Linked DNA regions of Pelodiscus sinensis. The protein of the gene in region 3 interacts with the protein of the main gene of each other region in a pairwise test. Links are inferred from orthologs where the notes say so. Each region holds a gene or a part of one and is shown on either strand. Other genes may lie near its edges.

Region 1 (6,912 bases), on a different chromosome or scaffold from region 3:
GCACAAACTCCTGCAGCTGGGCAATCTGCTTGTTCAGGCTGTTGATGTCCTGGGGGAGGGAAATTGCTCCAGTCTCAGTTGTGGCCCACACCCCCACCTGGTCCCAGTGGCCCTTAGGCTCCCACCCAGCTGAGGCTGCTGTTCATAGGCTCCAGCTCCTTTTGTTCCTGCCCACCCCATCCCACCTTCCAAATAAAGAGGCCATCTCTCCCAGCCACCAGGAGATGCTAGCCCTGCTCCCACTAACCTGTTTAATGATATATGTCAGCTCCTCTATCTCCACTGCCTTGTCATCAAACAGGGACTTCCGTTTGGCCACTGAGGACAGAGGGGTATGGTCAGGGAGTGTCCTATGAGGCCTGACAGGGATTCCTTTCCTCTACCACAAGTGCCCTGCTTTATCATGGCCCCCAGGGTCAGAACTACTCCCCCATTCAGGCCCAGCATCAATTACCCTCCCTTGTTGCTCCATAGCAGCCACAAAGCCCATCCCAACTGAGTGAGAATCTCCAGTTCACAATGGCTATAAAAAAAGCAAGAAGCCATGTTAACCCCAAGTGCTATCAGCAGCCCCTCCATGAAGGAGCCCATACCCCAGACAGCCCTCACCCTCTCCCTCCCTCCCTCCTCCCCTCCCCGGCCACTCACAGATGGTCAGCTTCTCCAGCTTGGCAAAAGTGTTGCTGAGATCTTTGCCGATGCGCCTGGGAGGAAACAGAACAGGAGACCAGAGTAAGGGTGGGATCTGTGCTTCCTCAGTTGGGGCCTGCTGACTAAATCATCAGTAGAGCACTTCCTCCTTAGCTCAGCTCTGATCCCAAGGAGAAACCCCTCTCAGCCCCAACCCAGGCAAACCAGCCTATAGCCATCCCACAAGATCCCTTCCCGGCACACTGATCCTGAGTCAGCCCAACATACTCCCAGGTTATCCAGCTGCTGAGCTCCCTCCCCAGATCTTGGCTAGTCCAGCCCTCACCCCACTCACTTGGCTATGACAGTGAATTCACTCCTCTGGCGCATGGCATTCAGGGTTGGTTTGTTCGGCTGCAGCCCATTCTGAAAGGAGAGACAGACTGAACTGAGGTGTTCTGGAGCAGAGAATCCCCCACACTAGCAAGGAATGGGCCTGACACCCCCAGGAAATGAAGACTCACCTGTCTGCTCTGCAAGGACTTGCAGGCAGAGAGGAACTCCTGGGTGCGATCGCGGCACGACATGGTGTCCGGAAAGGGCAGGGATGAGGCAACAGTTGTGGTAGCAGATGGGGACAGCTCCTGTGTCTGCGAAGGTCCCAGATAAACGCCCTGATGCGTGTTCTTAGAGCCGTGGCGTTTTCTCGTAGTCATTGAGGCTCATAACCTGGTGCTAGGGGAGGGGAGGCCACGGGTTCAGGGGCTTGGTTAATAGCTAAGGACCAAACTCCACCCTTCACCAGTCCCCATTAACCCTTTCTTCCTCCCTCTCTTCTCAAGCACACTCACTATCACATCACCTGCCCAGTCCCACTCATCTCTCCTCACCACAGCAAAGAGGCCAGGCAGTTCCAAGGCACTCTTGCCTGCCCCATTCAGAAGCAGCTCCTGATGCAAAATCCAAATGGGGGTCAAGGCTCCCAGAGCTCAGAGATATATGTAAAGGCTTCCTCTGCAATTCATCTGCAGTTCAGAGAGGAGTCTGCTTTGTGGTGCCCACTGTGCAAGGGAAGAGCCAGGCATGTCAGCAGGAAGAGACCCCCTGCCCCACTGCAGAAGCCTCCTAGAGGAATCAATCCCACCATGTCCCAGATTTCAGTGAGTTCCAGTCTCCACCAGAGCAGCCTCAACCAAGTCCAGACAAACAAGACTATTTGGTGACAGACATTAGCAGCTCCCAGAGGTGCACAAACTAGCACTGCTAAGGGTACAGCTGCATCCCCCTGCCTTGAAGTGGTTTTCCATCCTAGGAAGGGTTTACAATTTGGTTCAGTGGCTCTCAAGATGCACTCTGTACAAATTGTTCCAATACCCCGGAAGCTCCTTACCCACCAAGCAGGGATCCTGGCTGTTGGAGTCAGTGTCTGAACCAGGTAATTAGGATCAGAGATACACACAAGTGGAGGCAGGACTGGGGGTAAATAACCATGAAGGCACTTAGGTCCCTCTATCCATTCCCTGTAGGGTCCAATTTTTTTGGTGAAGGTCTAAATTTCTTGATCAAGGTATAGTCAAGGTCCACTCTCCAGAGAAACATTTTTCACGCCGCCACCACCACCACAATGATAACAAGACTTTGTGACTTATTTAAAAACATCTGGGGGCGCAGACTTGGCCCACGATCTGCCTATTGAGTTTCTGGTGAGAGCTGCCCCACAACCCCGCTTCTGCGCAGCGCTCAGAGTCGCTAAGCCCACTGAACAGAGGCGGGGAAAGAAGCGCGCGGACGGGGGGGGGGGGGGGGGGCTGACTTGCACTGAAGAGCAAATAACGGCAGGGGGGCAGAGCCCAAGGGAACCTGCCCCCCGCCCGCTTTAAGCCCCGGGCCCAGAGCAGGGAGTGCGGGCAGGAGGCGCAGGGCAAAGGCTGTAAGGACCCGCCGGGGACAGGCCCTGCAAGGGGAGACGGGGCAGGCGACCCAAGCGGGAGAACATGAGGAGCCCGGAGGGGCGCGGGGGGGACTCGCCGCCCCTCCGGGGGCCCAAAGCGGAGGGAGGGAGGGAGGGAGGGAGAGACGCGGGGCCCCGGGGAGGAGAGAGGTCCGGGGACTGCCCAAGCTGGGCCCACCCCTACCGGCGAGACCCCGACTCCGCCCCGCGACTCACCGAGACGCGAATCTAGCTTTGGTCGTTGCAACCTAGACCCCACCGGCCGGGAACTACGTCACTGCCACGTACACCTCGCGTAACACGTCAACGCGCCACGCACATACGTGCCCCGCCCCCTCCCCAGGGGAGCGAGAGTTTAAAGGGGCCGCGATTATCCGCGAACTTTCTGATCCCTGGTGACCTCGGCTCGGCGGCCTGGCCGGGTCACGGGCCCGGGCCAGGCCCCAAACGGCCCATTCGGAGCTGGGCTCCTCAAACACACTCCGCAGGGACTACGGTCCTACCCCCCCAACCCTGCCCCTACAGCCCCCCCTGCCGTGATTCCCAACCCTACAGCAACAGCTACCCCTGCTGTGGGGGCCTTCTCCCTTACAGCCTCCCCCAACATGGGGGCCTGCTCTGCAACCCTGCCCCTTCAGCCCCCCCAACATGGGGGCCTGCCCCCCATCATAAAACCATAGAGCTGGAAGAGACCTCAGAAGGTCATCAAGTCCACCCCCCTGCTCTAGGCAGGACCAATCCCAACTAAATCAACCCGGCCAGGGCTTTGTCAAGCCGAGACTTAAACACCTCTAGAGATGGAGACTCCACTACTTCCCTAGGTAACCCATTCCAGTGCTTCACCACTCTCCTAGTGCCGCTACAGCCCCCCTTCTGTGGGGACCTTCTCCCTTACAGCCTCCCTCAACATGGGGGCCTGCTCCCCAAGCCTGCCCCTATAGGCCCCCAACATGGGGGCCTGGTCCCCAGTACTGTCCAGGGCAGAAGGCCCAGCCCAGACACAGCTGTGAAAGTTATGTTTATTCCCCATCTCTGTTAGTTGCAAGGCAGCTGTCGTGGGGCGGGGGCCCAGCCTTCAGAGGGCTGTTCTCGGGGTCAGACTCGCTGGGCTCCGGCAGCGCAGTGACTGAGGTAGCGCTCTTGGTGCTCCGTATGGAATCACGCCGGTTGCCAAAGATGGAGACGCGTCTCCAAATGATCCGGATCTTGAGGCTGTCCGAGGAACGCACCGCTGGGGCAGAGTCCGCGATCCGCAGCTGCTTGCACCTAGGCCTGCGCTTGCTGTCTGCAAAGGAGGAGTGTAGACTATCAGCATGTTGACCAGACTGCCCAGCCATCCCTCTGCTTGGGATTATTTATACAGATATTATCATGACACTGATTTAACCATTAATTCCTTTATTAAATCCAAAAGCCAAATAATATTTATACAATTGCTCAAAACATACCTACAAGGCCTAAATAATAAGCAATTTGCCACATCTAGACAAAAACAAAACATTCATAAATATTTGATCAAGAAACTTACAAATGATCTAAACCAAGGGGGTACCAGTCAGCTTCAACATGGCCAGACAGTATATTGGCAATGCACAAAACTTTGAGATAACCTTTTAACAAACAAGTGATGTCTGGAAGCCAGGTACAGACTACAGTTAAAACCAATTGGAGACAGGTCATCTTTATTCCCTGGTTTAATCCAGACAATGTTTACAACCTCTTTTCCCTCCTTCCTGCTTATCAACAGTTTTTCCTTTGTGTCCAACCGTGAAAGTAAATTAAAAATGTCTACAGGTACTGTCCTATTGTAACCCAGGTCCCCGCCAGCTCTTTAAATAGCTCCCTGCTAGCTTTTGCTACAGCTCAGCCAGCTCTTGCTAGAGCTATGCACCAGGGTGCATCTGCTTAGTTTCACCTGTTTGCTCCTGGGTTCACACGGGGCTCTTAATTTTTATAACAACATTGGTTGGTGCGGTGGGAAGGGCTATGTTGGCTCATGCTAAAACAGAATCTCTTTGTTTTATTTAAAACTATCTGCCATCACCCCTCCCAGTCAGAGGCCTTCTCTTCAGAAATATCCTTTCATTTCATTAGTTATTCTTTGAACCAGGCATCCGCCCTACTTCATCGCTTCTGGCCCTGTAACTAATTACTTTTGTGGCCTTTCTTTACAACACACATCTTTCTTCAGCTGAATGTAAGCTAACTTTAATTTCCTAATTTTTATTTATTCTACATTCCCCACTTTGAAATCCAACATACTATGTGGGTTTTACTACATTAAAGCATTTCAAACATACTTCTACAATTTTGGAAAATGGTATCCAACTGCCAAACTTTGCAATATAGAATTAACAGAATAATTATCACAATAATGTAATTACCAAACCGTTAAAATAACCACCTTTACTATGGATGTAATTCCACACTATGGCTATGTCTACACTCGCGGCTTCTTGCGCAAGTAATATGCAAATGAGGCTAAGCATGGAATATTGCCGAGCCTCATTTGCATATCTAATGAGCCACCATTTTTTTCAGAAGAGGCTCTTCCGCAAGAAGGAGCCATTACACCTATTACTTTTCAGGAAGAACAGCATTGCGCAAGAGGGTTTTTCTTGCGCAAGAAGGGGCAGTGTAGACGCTCCTTCTTGCGCAAGAGCCTCTTCTGAAAAAAATGGCTCATTAGGTATGCAAATGAGGCTTGGCGATATGCCACGCTTAGCCTCATTTGCATATTACTCGCACAAGAAGCCGCGAGTGTAGACATAGCCTATAAGCTTGCTCTGCCTTTAAAACATGCTTCTGCAATTTTATCTTTGCCTATGTTTCAATTATATTATACAAAACTAGTATAAAATATATAAATCTTTCCATTTATCACCACTGGAAATTCAGGTGTGAAATAGAACATAAGCCAATTCAAATAGCATCCTCTGTGTCCATAGTAGAAATGGCCCTTTCCCGTCACCACACGATACTGGCCATTAGCAACATAGGCACTTTTTACTTCACCAGCTTCCCAGTGTCTCAGCCATACTGAGTGGTTTGGAGACTGCTTCCTCAGAGTGAACCTACAGGCTGGCAGCTGTGACAGTAAGACATTACACCCACCCATGAAAGGTCCTCAGGCGCAAACCCAGATCTTGTCACTACCATGCAACACCATGGCTACATCTACACTGGCAGCTTCTTGCGCAAGAACTGTTTTGCGGAAGAGTTCTTGCGCAAAAAGTCTTCCACAAGAGCGCATCTACACTGGCATGTGCTTTGGCACAAGAGACGTGCTTTTGCGCAAGAGCGTCTATGGCAGTCTATGGCCATATGGTCTTCTGCCATTTTAGCCATAGGGGTTTCTTGCACAAGAAATTCATGTCGCCTGTCTACACTGCCCTCTTGTGCAAGAGCTCTTGCACAAGAGGGCTTATTCCTCGTGGGGAGAAGAATAACTCTTCCGGAAGAAGCCCTGTTTTCTGACGCTGTACTGTAAATTTACTTGCGCAAGAACGTGTGTACTGTGTAGACACCCAGCAAGTTTTTGCACAAGAACAGCTGTTCTTGCGCAAGAAGCCGCCAGTGTAGACGTAGCCATGCATATGTGTCACAGTACTTTCCAGTACTCACACTGGTAACACTTTGGTCAAGGCTTTCTTTTTTCACAAACTTTATGGTATTGTAATCTTGTTCCTTTCTTGCCTTGCACCTATTATAATTGCCTCCCTTGTACCAAATCTTTAACTTTTCTGTGGTGCTAAAAGAGGGCAATCTTCTTTCTTCTGTCATTTAAGGATGCTTTCACTTTATATAGCATGTATTTATAGTATATTATTAGTGTTATTGTTTTTGATCTTTCCTGGTAGCAAATTAATTTTATCATGTGCATGTACAAAAAATGACCACATCATGCCTATGAAACAATTCAATGCTTTTTTGTCAATAAATTCTTTGCTTTGTTAATTTTGAAAATACAATATTCTAGGTACTAACTTGTTGAAAACACTTCCTCATTTAGTGGATGCAATCCTTCTGCTGCTAACTTCTGTTAAAATGCTTGCTCATATTCCCACAGCCACTCTATGTGAGCTTGGTTTCAAAGTGACATACCAATCCCAAATAGTTTAGTTTAGTTTGCCAATTTTATTAGTTCCCTTCAGTTTTGCTGCTGTCCCATCTTGGCGGGTTTAAGCATTTTAAAGTTTAAATTATTGTCTGTAAAGTCCTTTTAATGATCTGTAGCCATTTTTTACCAAATTGCAGTGACAGTGAAATTCAGTAAAATTAGTGCATGAATAAGTTACCCATTATTATACAATATCTTCTTAATAGATTTA
Region 2 (7,160 bases), on a different chromosome or scaffold from region 3:
TCATGTGTAAATAATTGCACAAATGAAGGGAAACACACATAGTTGAGCAGTGGGGAAAAAAAGAAATGCTAAGCAAATGTCTGAGTCTTCTGTTCGACTTTGGGTCCATGTAATTTGCCCTTGGTTCTGCTCACATAACTCCTGTTGTCTGCAGTGGGAGTTCTGCCCAGTACCACTTGACCACATACCAATAAAAGAACAACTTCCAGTAGAAAAACTCAGCACAGTTTTTACTGGCTTAGCCACGGAGACTCCATTTTGGTGAAGCTGCTGCCTGTGGACCACAGGGATTCTTGCTTCAAGGCTCTGCTTAGCAGCTAAGTAATATAACACACATACTCAATAAGTTCAGCCTCTGAATGTACGACCCTGCTAATTGGTTGCCTGGTCACCAGACAGCAAACACAATCAGCCACAGCAACAGTTTTAAAGCCTAAGTGTCCAATTCTGCCATCAGTACAGGAATTACACACATGTAACTCAGAGCAGATATGGATTCTAAGGCTATGGGCTAATCCTATGTAAAGTGTCAGCCAACTGGTGATCACATCCTAGACAGAAGTGTCAATGGTATAAATAGACCATACATAAACATTTTTAGACAGTTTTACAGCTATTCTTTTTTTCCTAGTGTAAGAACATATGAAATATTCAAGACATGCAACCTATATCTACCATATATCTAAGAAAAGAATCAAGCCTTCAAAGATTACAAAGCATAAACTCACCGTGAAATTTGTTACCAAATATATTTAATCATCATTTGCCAGTCTGAATTTGTGGCTCCAGAAAGTATCAACAATGGAAACCATTAAGTTTTTAAGTTATACAAATGGAAGAATATTTGAAAAAAATCTTCGTGAACCAGTCTCATTATGTCACATAAGTGATAAGTGTTATCAGATTATTTGTGCAGGGTCAGAAAAGTGTTTTGAGATGTATTTGTCCTTCATCCTCAGGCTGCACAAATCAGGCTTTGCATAAGCGACTAGTAAACAGCTGTCAGGGAGGCAGAATACAAGCCTCTCCTCCAAGTGGACAAGAAGATATGGGGCAGCAATACAAACTTTCTTTGATCCACATTCCAGTCTGTGGACTGGACCAGCAGATACTAGCCCCAACCCCAAACATTCACACAAGTTCTCTCCGTATTCAAGAATTGTGGAGGGCAGGATAGATTAATTATTAATCTAGTAACTATCCCATCCACGACTTCCCCTGTTGGTTTATCTGGCGCCTGCATGGAGCCCCTTCTGAGATCCACCTGAGGGGTACATAAGATCCCCTGTGTGGCTATTTTGCCTGAACCCGCCCTTTGGAGTCCTAAAGCAATGCTTCCACACTGTAGGATGTCTTACAGCCAACAGACTTGTATTTCACAATGAATTTTCACAGCTGCCTTAAAGATTCTAAAGATGGGGCTACAATATAAAGAGTGACAAGTGATCACAAACAAGCTTGCAAATACCTCATTGTGTCCCACAGTACCAAATAAAGCGAAATTTACTTATACCTGATTTTTTTTTTTTTACAATAAGTGTTTTCATGATGGCATTTAAATGAAAAAAAAAAAAGACTTTAATTGACATGTTCGTGATTATCATTAGTTTAATTTTTTTTTCTGTGAAGAAATAGCCACTCCTTAAAATGCCCTACTATAGAAATTATTCTCCTGTTCTTTGTGAGCAATTTGGGTGTGATTCTCTGTAGTGCAAACTGGAGCCTACTGTACCTTATCAGGAGGTGGGAACTGTAGCTGATTGACGTCCAGGGGTGTGATCAAGGGGATAGTGTCAAATCCATCCTCCAAGAGGGGCTGCTTTGTGCTCTTCTCACTGAAATTATTCCCTAGTTTCACCATCCTTCCTGGATTAAAAAGAAAAAAGGATTTCCTACAAGCACACATACAAAAAAAAGAAAACCATAACGTAGTGCTACTCAAACACATATTATGGCAAAAATATATCCCCCCAAAAAACACACAAATCCTAAAATACATTTTTTCAGGCATCATTTCTTCCGTTGATCTCAAGTGACCTAATTCCACTTTTTAACATCCCTCTCACTTTCGAATGGTCATTAAGAAGGCATCAGCTGTAACTGCATGACAGTTTTGGGGATGGAGGTGTTGTTTTCTAAGCGTGACTAACTACAACGGTGTATTCCTTCATAGCCGAAGGGTGAACTGCATCCTCTCCAGAGCGCTTTCTAGAAGCCCTGAATAACATCCAGCGGAAACGCAACATCTTTCCATATAATGGTATCCATCCATCCCCACAGTCCTCTCCATCCACAAAGGGGATCACTGCACCTCTCCACCTATCTACATCCATAGAGCTTCTCTTCTTCCTCTCCCCCTGCCCCCCGCCGCCGCCGCCACCGCCCCACGTCCATCAATCCATTTCCACAGTCTCCATTGCTGCATCCTTGTGTCCAGCGACACCGCCCCCCTCTGCGCACCGTCCCTGCTCCTCTTGCTCTGAGCGCGCCCGGCTCCAGAGGACGTGGGTGAGAGCGGGGCGCAATGAGAAGCCCTCCACGTCCTTCCCCACCCTGAGCTGCTAGGGGCATGAAGCTCCCACCCCAGCAATAATCGCTGGCGACGGAAAAGCCGCGGCTCGCACCTACCTCAGCTGCTCCTCTGCCGTTCCCTCTGTGCGGGGCTGGTGGGTGGGTGGGTGCAAGGTGGGGGAGGCTCCGAGCCCTCTGTTTCAGCGCTGGGAAATGGCGGCGCGGCTCGGACGCCTCTTCGGAGCGGCTCGGGCGGGAGGTTGGGTGCAGGGGAGCGACGCGATCGATCGGCGCTGGGCTGCCTTGGGGTTAATGGGCTCGTGCGCGTAGCTCGCAGCAGCAGCAGCGCCTCCGCCGTGACGCATCCGCCGCGTGTCTTAGGGCAGATCCGAGCAGCAGCAGCACAAAGGGGCCCCGGGGGGCGGGGGAGGCGCACGCTTGGCTCTCCCTGCGCCGGCTGCAGCAGGTGGGGGGGGGCGAGGCTCCCCCTGCAGAGCGCTACAAGGGGGAGGGGGGCGCAGTGCTACTTGTAAGGCCCGTGGGTAGCTCCCGCTAGGGGAGCGCGGCGCCTTGTTGTCCCCCCGCTTCTAGCAGCCAGGAGGGGAGCGCTGGGCGCTACAATCGGGCTGGGCTGTGAGAGGACAATGACCTCGCTAAGCCCGTGAGGCAGCGGTACAAGCGGGCCGGGGAGCGCGCGGGGGGAAGTGCAAGGTACAAGTGACTAGCGCGGGGGGCGCTGCATGACACAAGAGAGCTGGGAAGGGGATGGGCGTTGCGCGCTACAAGCGGGCTGGGGGCCCGGGGTGGGGCGGGGCGCAGCGCGGTACAGGCGGGCCGAGGGCACTGCGCGGCTCCGAGGCGCGTCGCTTTCGCCGGGCTACGGGCGGCGCTTCAGGTCCTTCCCTACCGGTGGCAGGAGATGCGGTGCAAAGGGCCTGGGTGGGGCCGGAGGCTTTGTTCCTGGGGCGCGAGCTGCTCCTGTCCCCGGGGCAGCGGCGCGCGACGCTCCCCGTAACTAGCCTGCTCCTCCTAGGGGCCGGGGGCATGCTGGGGACTGGGAGCCGCCTTATGGCCGGGGAGATAGGGAGGGTCGCGTTGCCCCTGACTCAGCTGTATACGCCTGTCTGACCCGGCCTCGTACCTGTGAGCCCCGGGCTCCATGCACCCCCCCCCCCCGCAGCTTGGTGGGTGCTGGTGAAAGAGGGATAAAAAACGCTGCAATCCCTAATTGAGGGAAATCTTCACTAAATAACCCGCCGAATGCGCCCTGCCTGTTGGTGCAGCCAATTTATCATTTTAATTGCATTGTTTTCCTGAGCCCTGGTAATTGAGGCCACGATCCGTTATTCAGCTTTTCTGGCGTTTGCTTGCTTTGCTGCTGACAGGCTGCGCATAAAGTATTTCAGCACCTGCACAGCCTCTTCAGTGTCAGAGGCAAGTCAAAAAGCCAGAGGAGACCTTAGGGAAGGGAGACAGCCCAAGGCAATGGTCCACCTAATATTCAAGCTGCCTCATAAGTATGGGTAGGAGACTGAAGATTTTTATGCTTCATCATTTGGACGGTTAATCTTGCCCTAAAGCATTTTCTCTGTCTCCAAATTGTCAAGCAGACCTGCTGTTCAAGTTAGTTTTCTGTTTTGACCTTGCTGCATTTTACTAACTCTTGTATTGAAGTCCAGGGCACTTCAAGGCAGACTCAGATCATGCAGCTTTAAACCCAAGCAAAAAGCCATTTTGGTGGGGGAAATGGTTCAGGTGCACTCCATTAATGTCTTGTAACCCCAGGCAACCAGTGTGCACTGCTTGTAATCCCCTAGGTGCATCGCTTTCTGGGAAGCAAATGTAGGCATCTTGAGGAACACTGAGCTACATGTTATGAAATCATAGAATCATAGAACTGGAAGAGACCTCAGACGGTCATCAAGTCCAGCCCCCTGCTCTAGGCAGGACCAATCCCAACTAAATCAACCCGGCCAGGGCTTTGTCAAGCCGAGACTTAAACACCTCTAGTGATGGAGACTCCACTACTTTCCTAGGTAACCCATTCCAGTGCTTCACTACCCTCCTAGTGAAATAGTTTTTCCTAATATCCAACCTGGACCTCTCCCACCGCGAATGGGGACCATTGCTCCTTGTTCTGCCATCCATCACTACTGTGAACAGCCTCTCTCCATCCTCCTTGGAACCTCCCTTCAGGAAGTTGAAAGCTGTTATCAAATCCCCCCTCACTCTTCTCTTCTGCAGACTAAACAGACCCAGCTCCCTCAGCCTCTCCTCATAAGTCATATGCTCCAGCCCCCTAATCATTTTGGTTGCCCTCCACTGGACCCTCTCCAATGCATAAGAGAGAAGGAGGGTACTCAGCCAAGACCTACTGACAAGAACCAAAATCCACCTAAAATAAAACATTTCTATTATTTGTAAAATATGATCATCCTCTCCTTCCTTGTGGGCTTTGATCTCTTAAACAGAAAAAAAGTAAATCAGAGTTAATCTATTGGAAATGAGATGAGGGGTACTTCACATCTTTTTTTGTATCTTATTGGTTCAAAGATTTTGCAGAAGAAATTAACCACTCTGTTGGTTTACACTCGTCACATGGTGAAGATTGCTAGCATATGGGCTAGAGCAGTGTTCCCCAACATGGTGCCCGTGGGTGCTATGGCACACGGGGGCATTTGTGTGCACCCGCCAAGTTCTCAGGGCTGGCACATACGCGGTGTCAGCCCCAGGCGCACTGCGCATACGCGGTGTCGGCCCCAGGAGCACTGAGCATACACGCATACCACTGGTCTACTGCATGCGGAGCACCGGCCCCAGGCGTGCAGTGAATTGACCGCCTGCGCTCCGGGTGTGTGGTGCATGGGAAGTGCCGCTCCTAGGCGCGCGGCAAATTGGCTGCCCTGGCCCCAGGCACGTGGCAAATTGGCCGCCCCGCCCCCAGGTGCATGGCTATGGGGGGTGCCAGCCCTGGGCGTGTGGCTCTGGAGGGCGCCAGCCCCAGTCTTGCGGTGAATGGGCGGCCCTGCCCGTGGCCACGCAGTGCATGGGGTTGCTGACCCCAGGCACGTGGCTCATGGGAGTGTAGCGTATGCGCGGCCCCACCCCTGAGCCTGTGAGTGTCCCTGCCCTCTGGCTCCTGGTGGGTGAACGGCCCCGCCCCTTGGAGCCCAGCAGCTCCAAATGGTTGGGGACCACTGGTCTACTGCAATTGCTCCCCTCCCCCCGCACCTGAGGAAGGTGGGCTGGTTGGGTGACCTGCCTTTTTCCCAGGTCTGCCAATAGGAGTGTGTACTGCAGAAAATGCATGTGTGGTGTCTGGCATCCAGCTAGAGAGGGCTAAGGCAGCAAGACAGAAGCTGATGCCCCACCAGGAGCCTGGCTTGAAGCTCACTCACCTCTCCTATAACAGTGCACCTCCAATGGGCCCCTTTCGCACATGCTTGCCTCACCTGGGGGCCTACTGTTCATCGCACATGGGGCTGTTAGCCCCAGCCTACAGCCAGGAGCGGGCCGAAGTCGGCTGTGGCAGCTGGCATCCTAGGCGGAAGGAGCGATTGGCACCCCTGCCTGCATGGCTGTCAATGGTCGTGACGTCATCATCGGGTGCCTGTGCCTGCAGTGCCCTAGGCAACTGCCTAGTTTGCCTAGGTCCGCGAGCTGCCCCTGACTACAGCAGGGACCATGTGGAACCCAGAGGGAGCCTAGCTGGAAAAGCACATTACAAGCCATGTTGCATGCCTCTACCTGCAACGGAGTGCCCCAGCTGGCAGTTACTGGAATGGCACCACCTTCTTTTCCCCTCTGCCCAGGAGTAATGCTTCCACTGTGCTGTGGGATTTCAAAAACCTCCTAGAAAGCACTGTCTGATAAAGGCATACATGTGTGCTTTCGTGACACCAATAGTTTGGAACTGAGGTTAATAAAGACCTACTAGCAGATGTACCTGGGATTGCTCAAGTCTTTAACTGAAGTAATTTAAAAAAAATGAAAAATGCACATGCTTATTTCAATTATTGTATTTTTTTTAAATGAAGGCTGGAGTGAGAGTTTGTAAGCTCACAATATCCTATTGTGAAAAATCACCTTTAGAGCAATTTAAAGTGATAATGCAAAGTACACTTTGATTCTTTCTTTTGTTCTCTGAAGGCCAGGATATAATTTTTTATATCATTACTTCCTTTTTTCTCTTTGGCAAATGATTTATTTTCCCTTCTGTTTCTCAAGTAACACAAGCCAAATAGATTTTCCTTCACTGACTCTTGTCATAAGCATTAATGATAACGTCAATGTCATCAGCAGAGTTCTAGGAAATACAGTTCATTAAACTCCTGGCTATTTGGCTGTCTGTTCAGCAAGCTGGCTGGCTGGCTGTTCAGCAAGCTTTGTTTTGCTTGTCAGAGACCATCATTTTCAATGGCTATTCACTTGCTTTTAAAAAGTTTCTTGGTGAAGTAGCAGGAGCCACAGGACACCCCTAAACTAGCATGTTTATGGTAGGTGAAATTTTGGGCTTGTCTGTATTGCTTTTAAACACTGGCCCTACGTCTACACTGGCCCCTTTTCCGAAAGGGGCGTGCTAATTTTCAACTTCAGAATAGGGAAGTCCGCGAGGGAATTAAATATCCCCCGCGGGATTTAAATAAAGA
Region 3 (7,392 bases):
TGTAGTATGGACACACTATTTCAAAATAGTTGTTTTGGGAGTTATTATTTCGAAGTAAGTTATTTTAAAATAATTTCCTAGTGTAGACATGCCCTAAGGTGCTACAGGACTACTCTTTTTTTTTTTTAAGTTACGGACTAACATGGCTACGCCTCAGACTTTTAAATCATAGCTGTTAACGATTGATGGGGTTTGTCCGTCCCTTCTCTCTTTCTCTTTCACCTTGTCCACATCTTCATAGTTTTCCACCAAGATTGGCCAGCCAAATATCCGGACTGTGACCAATTTCCAGCCTCTTTACAGCAAATCAACCTCAACTATTTGATTGAAATTAAGTAATTCACCCATTCCCAGTTTCTATTTGCCAGAAGCTGGGAATGGGTGACAGGGATTGACTGTTCTATTCATTCCCTCTGGGGCACCTGGCACTGGCCACCATCAGAAGACAGGATACTGGGCTAGATGGACCTTTGGTTTGACCCAGTTGGGCCATTCTTTGGGTCTTAGTCACACATCAGATTCGTATTATCCCTGTGTATTGTCTTCAAAGTTCATGCAATAATTGTAGTTTTATTTCTTCAGAAGGCTGGAATCCTGTTTTGTACAGCAATCTATATAAAATCCTGGGCTGCTTTAATTAATCCTCACAATATCCTATTGGCTCTAGCTCTGTTTGGGGCTATATTAATGTTTTTCTTATTGTCAGTGACAGCACTACTGTAATGTGACGTTTGTGCATGAGATCAGATTGTGCGTGTACATGTCAGAGAGGGAATGCTTGTGAGAGAGAACAAACTCAGGCACCTGGTGCTCCTATCATGTTGTAGCTCTGTAGGCAAAGCTGTATTTCTGGAGTTTTGGTTTCATTATGTGTGCACTTGTGGTTTGGTTCATTATGCTGACACTTCTGCCTGCCACTTGCTGCTCAGATCCACAGGCTACAAAAAGAGTGTGTGAGGATGGAGGGAGCAAAATGGTGCATAAAACTGATGCTTGTGGCACTTTTTGCAAGAGTAACTCTAGGCTGCTGGTGCAATTTGGAACCAGTTCCATTCATCCTATTATAAGTTCTGTCGTCATTGCTAAAGCATCAGAAGTGGGTTTGTTACTCTCCCCTTCCTGTGCTAAACCACTGCGTACTGCAATGATTATTATCCATCTCACAATTTGCTTTAGATCAGAGTAGTGACCCCACTCTATGGTTGCTGGATGCAGTTCTCAAACCAGAGGACCGAGTTGCTCATCCCTCAAAAACTATTTGGGGCTGTTCCTCTGTCACCTGTTTGAAATCCTCACACACACTTAGAATCATAGAATCATAGAACTGGAAGAGACCTCAGAAGGTCATCAAGTCCAGCCCCCTGCTCTAAGCAGGACCAATTCCAACTAAATCAACCCGGCCAGGGCTTTGTCAAGCTGAGACTTAAATACCTCTAGGGATGGAGACTCCACTACTTCCCTAGGTAACCCATTCCAGTGCTTCACCACCCTCCTAATGAAATAGTTTTTCCTAATATGCAGCCTGGACCTCTCCCACCACAACTTGAGACCATTGCTCCTTGTTCTGCCATCTGTCACTACTGAGAACAGCCTCTCTTCATCCTCTTTGGAACCTCCCTTCAGGAAGTTGAAGGCTGCTATCAAATCCCCCCTCACTCTTCGCTTCTGCAGACTAAACAGACCCAAGTCCCTCAGCCTCTCCTCATAAGTCATATGCTCCAGCCCCCTAATCATTTTGGTCGCCCTCCGCTGGACCCTCTCCAATGCGTCCACATCCTTTTTGTAGTGGGGGGCCCAGAACTGGACACAATACTCCAGATGCGGCCTCACCAAAGCCGAATAAAGGGGAATGATGACATCTCTGGGTCTGCTGGCAATGCTCCTCTTAATGCAACCTAATATGCCATTAGCCTTCTTGGCTACAAGGGCACACTGTTGGCTCATATCTAGCTTCTCATCCACTGTAACCCCCAGGTCCTTTTCTGCAGAACTACTACTTAACCGGTTGGTCCCCAGCTTGTAACTATGCTTGGGATTCTTCCGTCCCAAGTGCAGGACTCTACACTTGTCCTTGTTGAACCTCATCAGATTTCTTGTGGCCCAATCCTCCAATTTGTCTAAGTCATTCTGTACCCTATCTCTGCCCTTAAGCGTATCTACCTCTCCCCCCAGCTTAGTGTCATCCGCAAACTTGCTGAGGGTGCAATCCATCCCCTCATCTAGATCATTAATAAAGATATTGAACAAAACCGGTCCTAGAACCGAACCTTGGGGCACTCCGCTAGAAACCGACCGCCATCCTGACGTTGAGCCATTGATCACTACCCGCTGGGCCTGGCCTTCTAACCATCTTTCTATCCATCTTACCGTCCATTTATCCAATCCACAATCCCTTAACTTGCTGGCAAGAATATTGTGGGAGACCGTATCAAAAGCCTTGCTAAAGTCAAGGTATATAACATCCACTGACTTCCCCATGTCCACCGAGCCAGTGGAAGAGTCTCTACAGGTGTGAAATGTATCTGTGAAGAGACAGCAGTGGTTCACGCCTATCTTGTTTGTGCAAGTACAAAGGTCTTGGATGGTTACACATCTCCCATGCCCATGACATGCCTTGGCATCGCATGCTGTCTGTTCTTCCAGGGCTAGGCTGAGAACACAGAGCAATCCCCTCCATGTGGACGAGCTAGGTCCCACAGCCTTTCAGTCACCACTTTACAGTCGCTTTCCATTGAGGTGTGCCCCTGGGAGGTGTAGAAACAGGTGTGACCTCCTGGGGCACAAAGTTATCCATTTTCAGGGGTTATTTGCGGGGGACAGAGGGCATGATTGGACTAGATCATACTAGATCATACCACTTTTTTGGTGGGTGGGGTGGGGAGAATTAATTTTCCAGGGGAAAGCCTTGTGTCACAACAGCACCCCCAGCCTTGCTATTCTTGGCCCACATGGAAAGTTTATTCAGATATGTAGGAGAATTAATCAGGTTTTATTCTATGGGGGGACTTTCATGGCTGGGAGGGACTGCCTGCAGGGTTAAAGGTCATGATGCCACAGCAAACCCATGTTGTACACCCTATGGGCCAAAGTAGAGCACACTGATTTCAATTTTGTGGGGGGGAATTAATCCCCTTTAATTTGGGGAAACCCCTCACTCCGGGATATCCCTGGGCCACAGGTCCCAGTGGCATGGCAGCTCCTTGCCCCACACATCCATTGCCCCCGTAAGCACCCAAACCTCTCTGCCTGCCTCATTCACTTCATGTGCATTTGGGGAATTAATCTACCTAATTTGGGGGGAGACCCTAATTTAAGAAGAGGCCATTCAGGGGATGTGAAGGGTCATTTTGTTGTTGTGACCTCTGATATATCCCTAAATTGCCATTATGATTTCCAACCCGGCAGGTACCCTCAAGCCCTCAAAGGAGACCCCCCCTCCCACAATATGGCTGAAATAAGCATCTTTGGCTACGTCTAGACTGCAAGCCTCTTTCGAAAAAGAGCATCTAGATTACAACCAGTACTTTCGATAAAGCAAGCCGCTTTTTCAAAAGAGAGCACCCAGGCTGTCCGGATGCTCTCTTTCAAGAAAGCACAGTTTGCATTATATAGCACCTGTTTTCAAAAGAGCACTTTTGAAAAAAGGCGATATTCCTCGTAAAACGAGGTTTTCCGCAGTCGAAAAAACTGCTGCATTCTTTTGATTTACTTCCGAAAGAACGCAGCAACACTCTAGACGCAGGGGAAGTTTTTTTTCGAAAAAAGGCCACTTTAAAAAAAAAAAAAAACCAACAAACAAACAAAAAACCCTTGTATTCTAGACACACCCAAAAGGGCCTAGCAAATAGATCCTCCCACATGCGGAGGTTGGATATGTCATTTTGACATTCGGTGCCTCAGTTTCCCCATCTCATGATGCTGGTTGGTGGGAACATGCTAAGAGGGCCCTGGGCACTAGCCTTCAGCCTGAGCATGTTTAGGGGTCCCCCTCTCATGTTTGCAGCCCCCCTTGCCATGCAGTGTTTGTTTCATTGGGGGTGTCACTTTTTTGGGGGGGTTGCCCACGTTGGGGGGGGTGCCCTACCCATGGGGCAGCCTCTCCCCCCCCCTCCTCTACTTAATAACTGTAGAGGGTGATTAGCCTGGTTAATTTGGGGGAATCCCCGCTCCCCCCTCCCCCTCCGTCTATGAAGTCACTGGTGCCATTGACCCGCCCCTCCCCCCGCCGCGCGCGCACAGAAGGGGCTCAAGCCGCGACCGTTGCTGCCGCCCCCAACCGCCGCCCGGCCCCAAGTTTGAATTTTCCCGCCTTTTCAGGGGCCGGGCGGCATCGTTCTGAGGCTCGCGCCAGCCCCTCCCGCCCCTCCCCCCGGGCAGCCCCCAGCGAGCGGGCTGCCCCGGGCGGGGGGAGGAGGTGCCCCGCCCCCCCATGCGAGGAGGGAATTAATGTTGGGGGGCACGCCCCCCCTCAGCGCCCTGCCCCCACACTCACGCCAGTGCCCCACACACCCACTGTCCTTGCCAGCCCCCAAGTCCCCCCATTTTGCCCCCCAGCACTCACACCAGCCCCAGAGAGCCCCGCAGCCCCTTAAGCTCCCAACCCCAAATCCCCCTTCCCCCATACTCATGCCAGCCCCACAGCCCCAACCCCCCCCCTCACCTCCCAACACTCACCCAGAGAGCCCCACGGACCTATTGCCCCCAGAAGTCCCCCAACCACCCCAAATCCCCTCTGGTCCCCCCACATTCATGCCAGCCCCAAAGACCCACTGCCCCTGAAAGCCACTGAACCCCAAATCCCCCCTTGTCCCTGAGCACTCACACCAGCCCCAGAAAGCCCCAAAGACCTGCTCCCCCCCCTGTAAGCTCCAACCCCAAATCTCCCCTGCCCACCACACTCACACCAGCTCCAGAGAGCCCCACAGACCCACTGCCCCCATAAACCACAAAAAAGGTTGGTATCATTAGCCCCTGATGGGGAAACTGAGGCACACAGTGAGGCAGGGACTTGCTCAAGGTCACCAAGCAAGCCAATGGCTGAGTCAGAATAAAACCCATTGATGCTAAGCAAATATGCTCTTCTCCCTAAATACACTCATGTCGGCCAGACATCCCAGGTAATGCCCACAGGTCACCTGGCCCATTGGCTCATCATATCCCATTTCACCCCATTTTTACAGACTTGTGGGGGCTGCCCTGAGCCTGGTACAACTGTCCCCGCTTCTTTCAGCACCACTCCCACACACCCCTCTCAGATAGGCTGTCTACCCTAAATCCATCCCCTCGGGTAGAGAGGGCAGCACCAGCTGACCCCGCAAATAAGCTTTTAATGGGCATGGGGGGGGTGTCTTGACCCCCACATTGCCCTCTGCTCCATGGATGCCCAAGTTGATTAGACAAGACAGATTCCAGTCTAAGCAGGGGAGGGGTTCCCGAGACCTCTTCCAAAAGCGAACAGTTCGGGGCCGAGTGCTGATGGCACTGGGCCAAAGCCAGCTCCTAGAATGATACATGTGGGGGAATCTAAGGGTCTGGCTGTCCTGGTGTAACTACACCAATACAGCTACCCCTGTAGAGTGAGTCCCTCCCTACCCGCTCTAGCCTTTATTCTTGTCTAGTGGAATACGATCGATCAATCAATTTGCTGCAGTTTAATCAGGTGTCCCTTGATTAGTGCTTATGAGGACAGCATTGGGAAGGCTGGTCCCTATGCTACCCCCAGCAGAGAGCTTCCTTTGGGAAGGAGGACAGTGAGCATCATACTGTCTGTTTTATTGCAGGGCTAGCGAATGTGGCAGGAGACATGCTGTCCTCACAGGAGGCCGCTTCCCCCTGGATCTCTGATGAAGCCAGCTTCTGTGGAGATACAGATCAGCCAGCGAACATGCAGACCCTGTCTCACAACCCTGCAGCAGCTGTACAATTGCATATGGTCCAGTCATCAGAGGGTATGTAGCACCAGTTTGGGGTCTGTCTGTCTACTAGGGATGTAAAATCCCATTTAATTGGCTAATCGGTTACACACTATTTAACTGGTTAACCAATTTAAGGGGGGGGCAAGCAAGGTGGGAGCAGCCTCCCCCTTGCTGCAAGCAGAGGCTGCTTCAGCCTGGACAGAGAAGCCCCTGCCTGCATCCCCCCTGCCACAGGCAGAAGCTGCACTAGCTGGGTTGGAGCAGTCTCAGCCAGAGCAGCCCCTGCCTGCAAGGCACCTGGGGGCCTGCCGTGGGGCTGGAGCAGCCCCCTGCCCATAGCAGGTGGGAAGCTGCTCCAGTCCCTACTGGTTAACCCGATAAACTTTTACATGCCTATTATCTACTATATCCCCCCTCCCTTACTGTAGTAGCTAAGCACCATTTGTAATGCTACCTCTATGAGGTAAGTGCTTTGCTGAATAGCTAGCTACATTTCTAAGCCACATGGTTGCAAGTGAAAACACAATCCAAGGGTAAACTGAGCAGCGTGGTCTGCCTAAATCTGCAGTACTAGCTCTGGAGATGAGATCCACGCCATTCCTCCAAATGGCTCTGAATCCTACGGACAACAAATTCACCATCCGTACTTCAGGGGGTGGCCGAGTTAGTCTGTTACAGAAAAAAACAACAAATGGTCTGGTAGCACTTTATAGACTAACAAAACATGTAGATGGTATTCAGGGTGTTCAGAATGCCTAGCCTAGTACTCTGCCTGCTAGACCATGCTGCCTCCCAGGTTAGGCTCTGATTCTGCAGTCAGATCAGTAGAGGAGCCCCAATGGTGCAGACTGGATTTCAGGATTGGGGCCTTTCTGTGAGAGCTTAAGTGTGAAGAAGAAAAGCAAGAAGCACATTTGCTATGTAGCCCATTCACCCACAGCTTCAGGGTGTGGTGTATTGTCCCATCTAGTGGCATCTAGTTGGCTCTGCAGCCTTAGCTAGCAGTCTTAGCTACCACATAGGCTTTTAGCTTATGTGGTAGATGGCTATAATACCTAGAGGCTACGTCTAGACTGGCATGATTTTCCGCAAATGCTTTTAACGGAAAAGTTTTTTCGTTAAAAGCATTTGCGGAAAAGAGCGTCTAGATTGGCACGGACGCTTTTTCGCAAAAGCTTTTTGTGGAAAAGAGTCCGTACCAATCTAGACGCGGTTTTGCGCAAGAAAGCCCCGATGGCCATTTTCGCCATTGGGGCTTTTTTGCGCAAAACAATACCGCGTTGTCTTCACTGGCCCTCTTGCGCAAAAGCATTTGCGCAAGAGGGCTTTTGCCCAAACGGGAGCAGCATAGCATTTCCGCAAGAACACTGACAATCTTACATGAGATCGTCAGTGTTCTTGCAGAAATTCAAGCAGCCAGTGTAGACAGCTGGCAAGCTTTTCCGCAAAAGCAGTTGCTTTTGTGGAAAAACTTGCC

What was found.
Region 1: the proteins of KASH5 (region 3) and STX5 interact in binary tests that used the Homo sapiens proteins (3 or more experiments, as listed by UniProt). The two-hybrid records come from large-scale screens. The link is inferred for Pelodiscus sinensis from reciprocal best matches to the Homo sapiens genes KASH5 and STX5.
Region 2: the proteins of KASH5 (region 3) and NSG1 interact in binary tests that used the Homo sapiens proteins (3 or more experiments, as listed by UniProt). The two-hybrid records come from large-scale screens. The link is inferred for Pelodiscus sinensis from reciprocal best matches to the Homo sapiens genes KASH5 and NSG1.

Annotation. Positions count from the first base shown.
Region 1 is NC_134721.1:36,452,221-36,459,132, forward strand, and holds the start of STX5 (syntaxin-5), read right to left. Parts: upstream 3,010-6,912; 5' UTR 2,798-3,009; intron 2,377-2,797; exon of another isoform or gene 2,021-2,376; intron 1,982-2,020; exon of another isoform or gene 1,521-1,981; intron 1,366-1,520; 5' UTR 1,347-1,365; coding exon 1,155-1,346; intron 1,057-1,154; coding exon 986-1,056; intron 705-985; coding exon 649-704; intron 319-648; coding exon 248-318; intron 50-247; coding exon 1-49. UniProt on the Homo sapiens protein: Mediates endoplasmic reticulum to Golgi transport.
Region 2 is NC_134715.1:110,540,258-110,547,417, reverse strand, and holds the start of NSG1 (neuronal vesicle trafficking-associated protein 1), read right to left. Parts: upstream 3,010-7,160; 5' UTR 2,629-3,009; intron 2,300-2,628; exon of another isoform or gene 1,998-2,299; intron 1,893-1,997; 5' UTR 1,862-1,892; coding exon 1,733-1,861; intron 1-1,732.
Region 3 is NW_027465974.1:153,159-160,550, reverse strand, and holds the start of KASH5 (protein KASH5), read left to right. Parts: upstream 1-4,390; 5' UTR 4,391-4,954; intron 4,955-5,780; 5' UTR 5,781-5,803; coding exon 5,804-5,948; intron 5,949-7,392. UniProt on the Homo sapiens protein: As a component of the LINC (LInker of Nucleoskeleton and Cytoskeleton) complex, involved in the connection between the nuclear lamina and the cytoskeleton.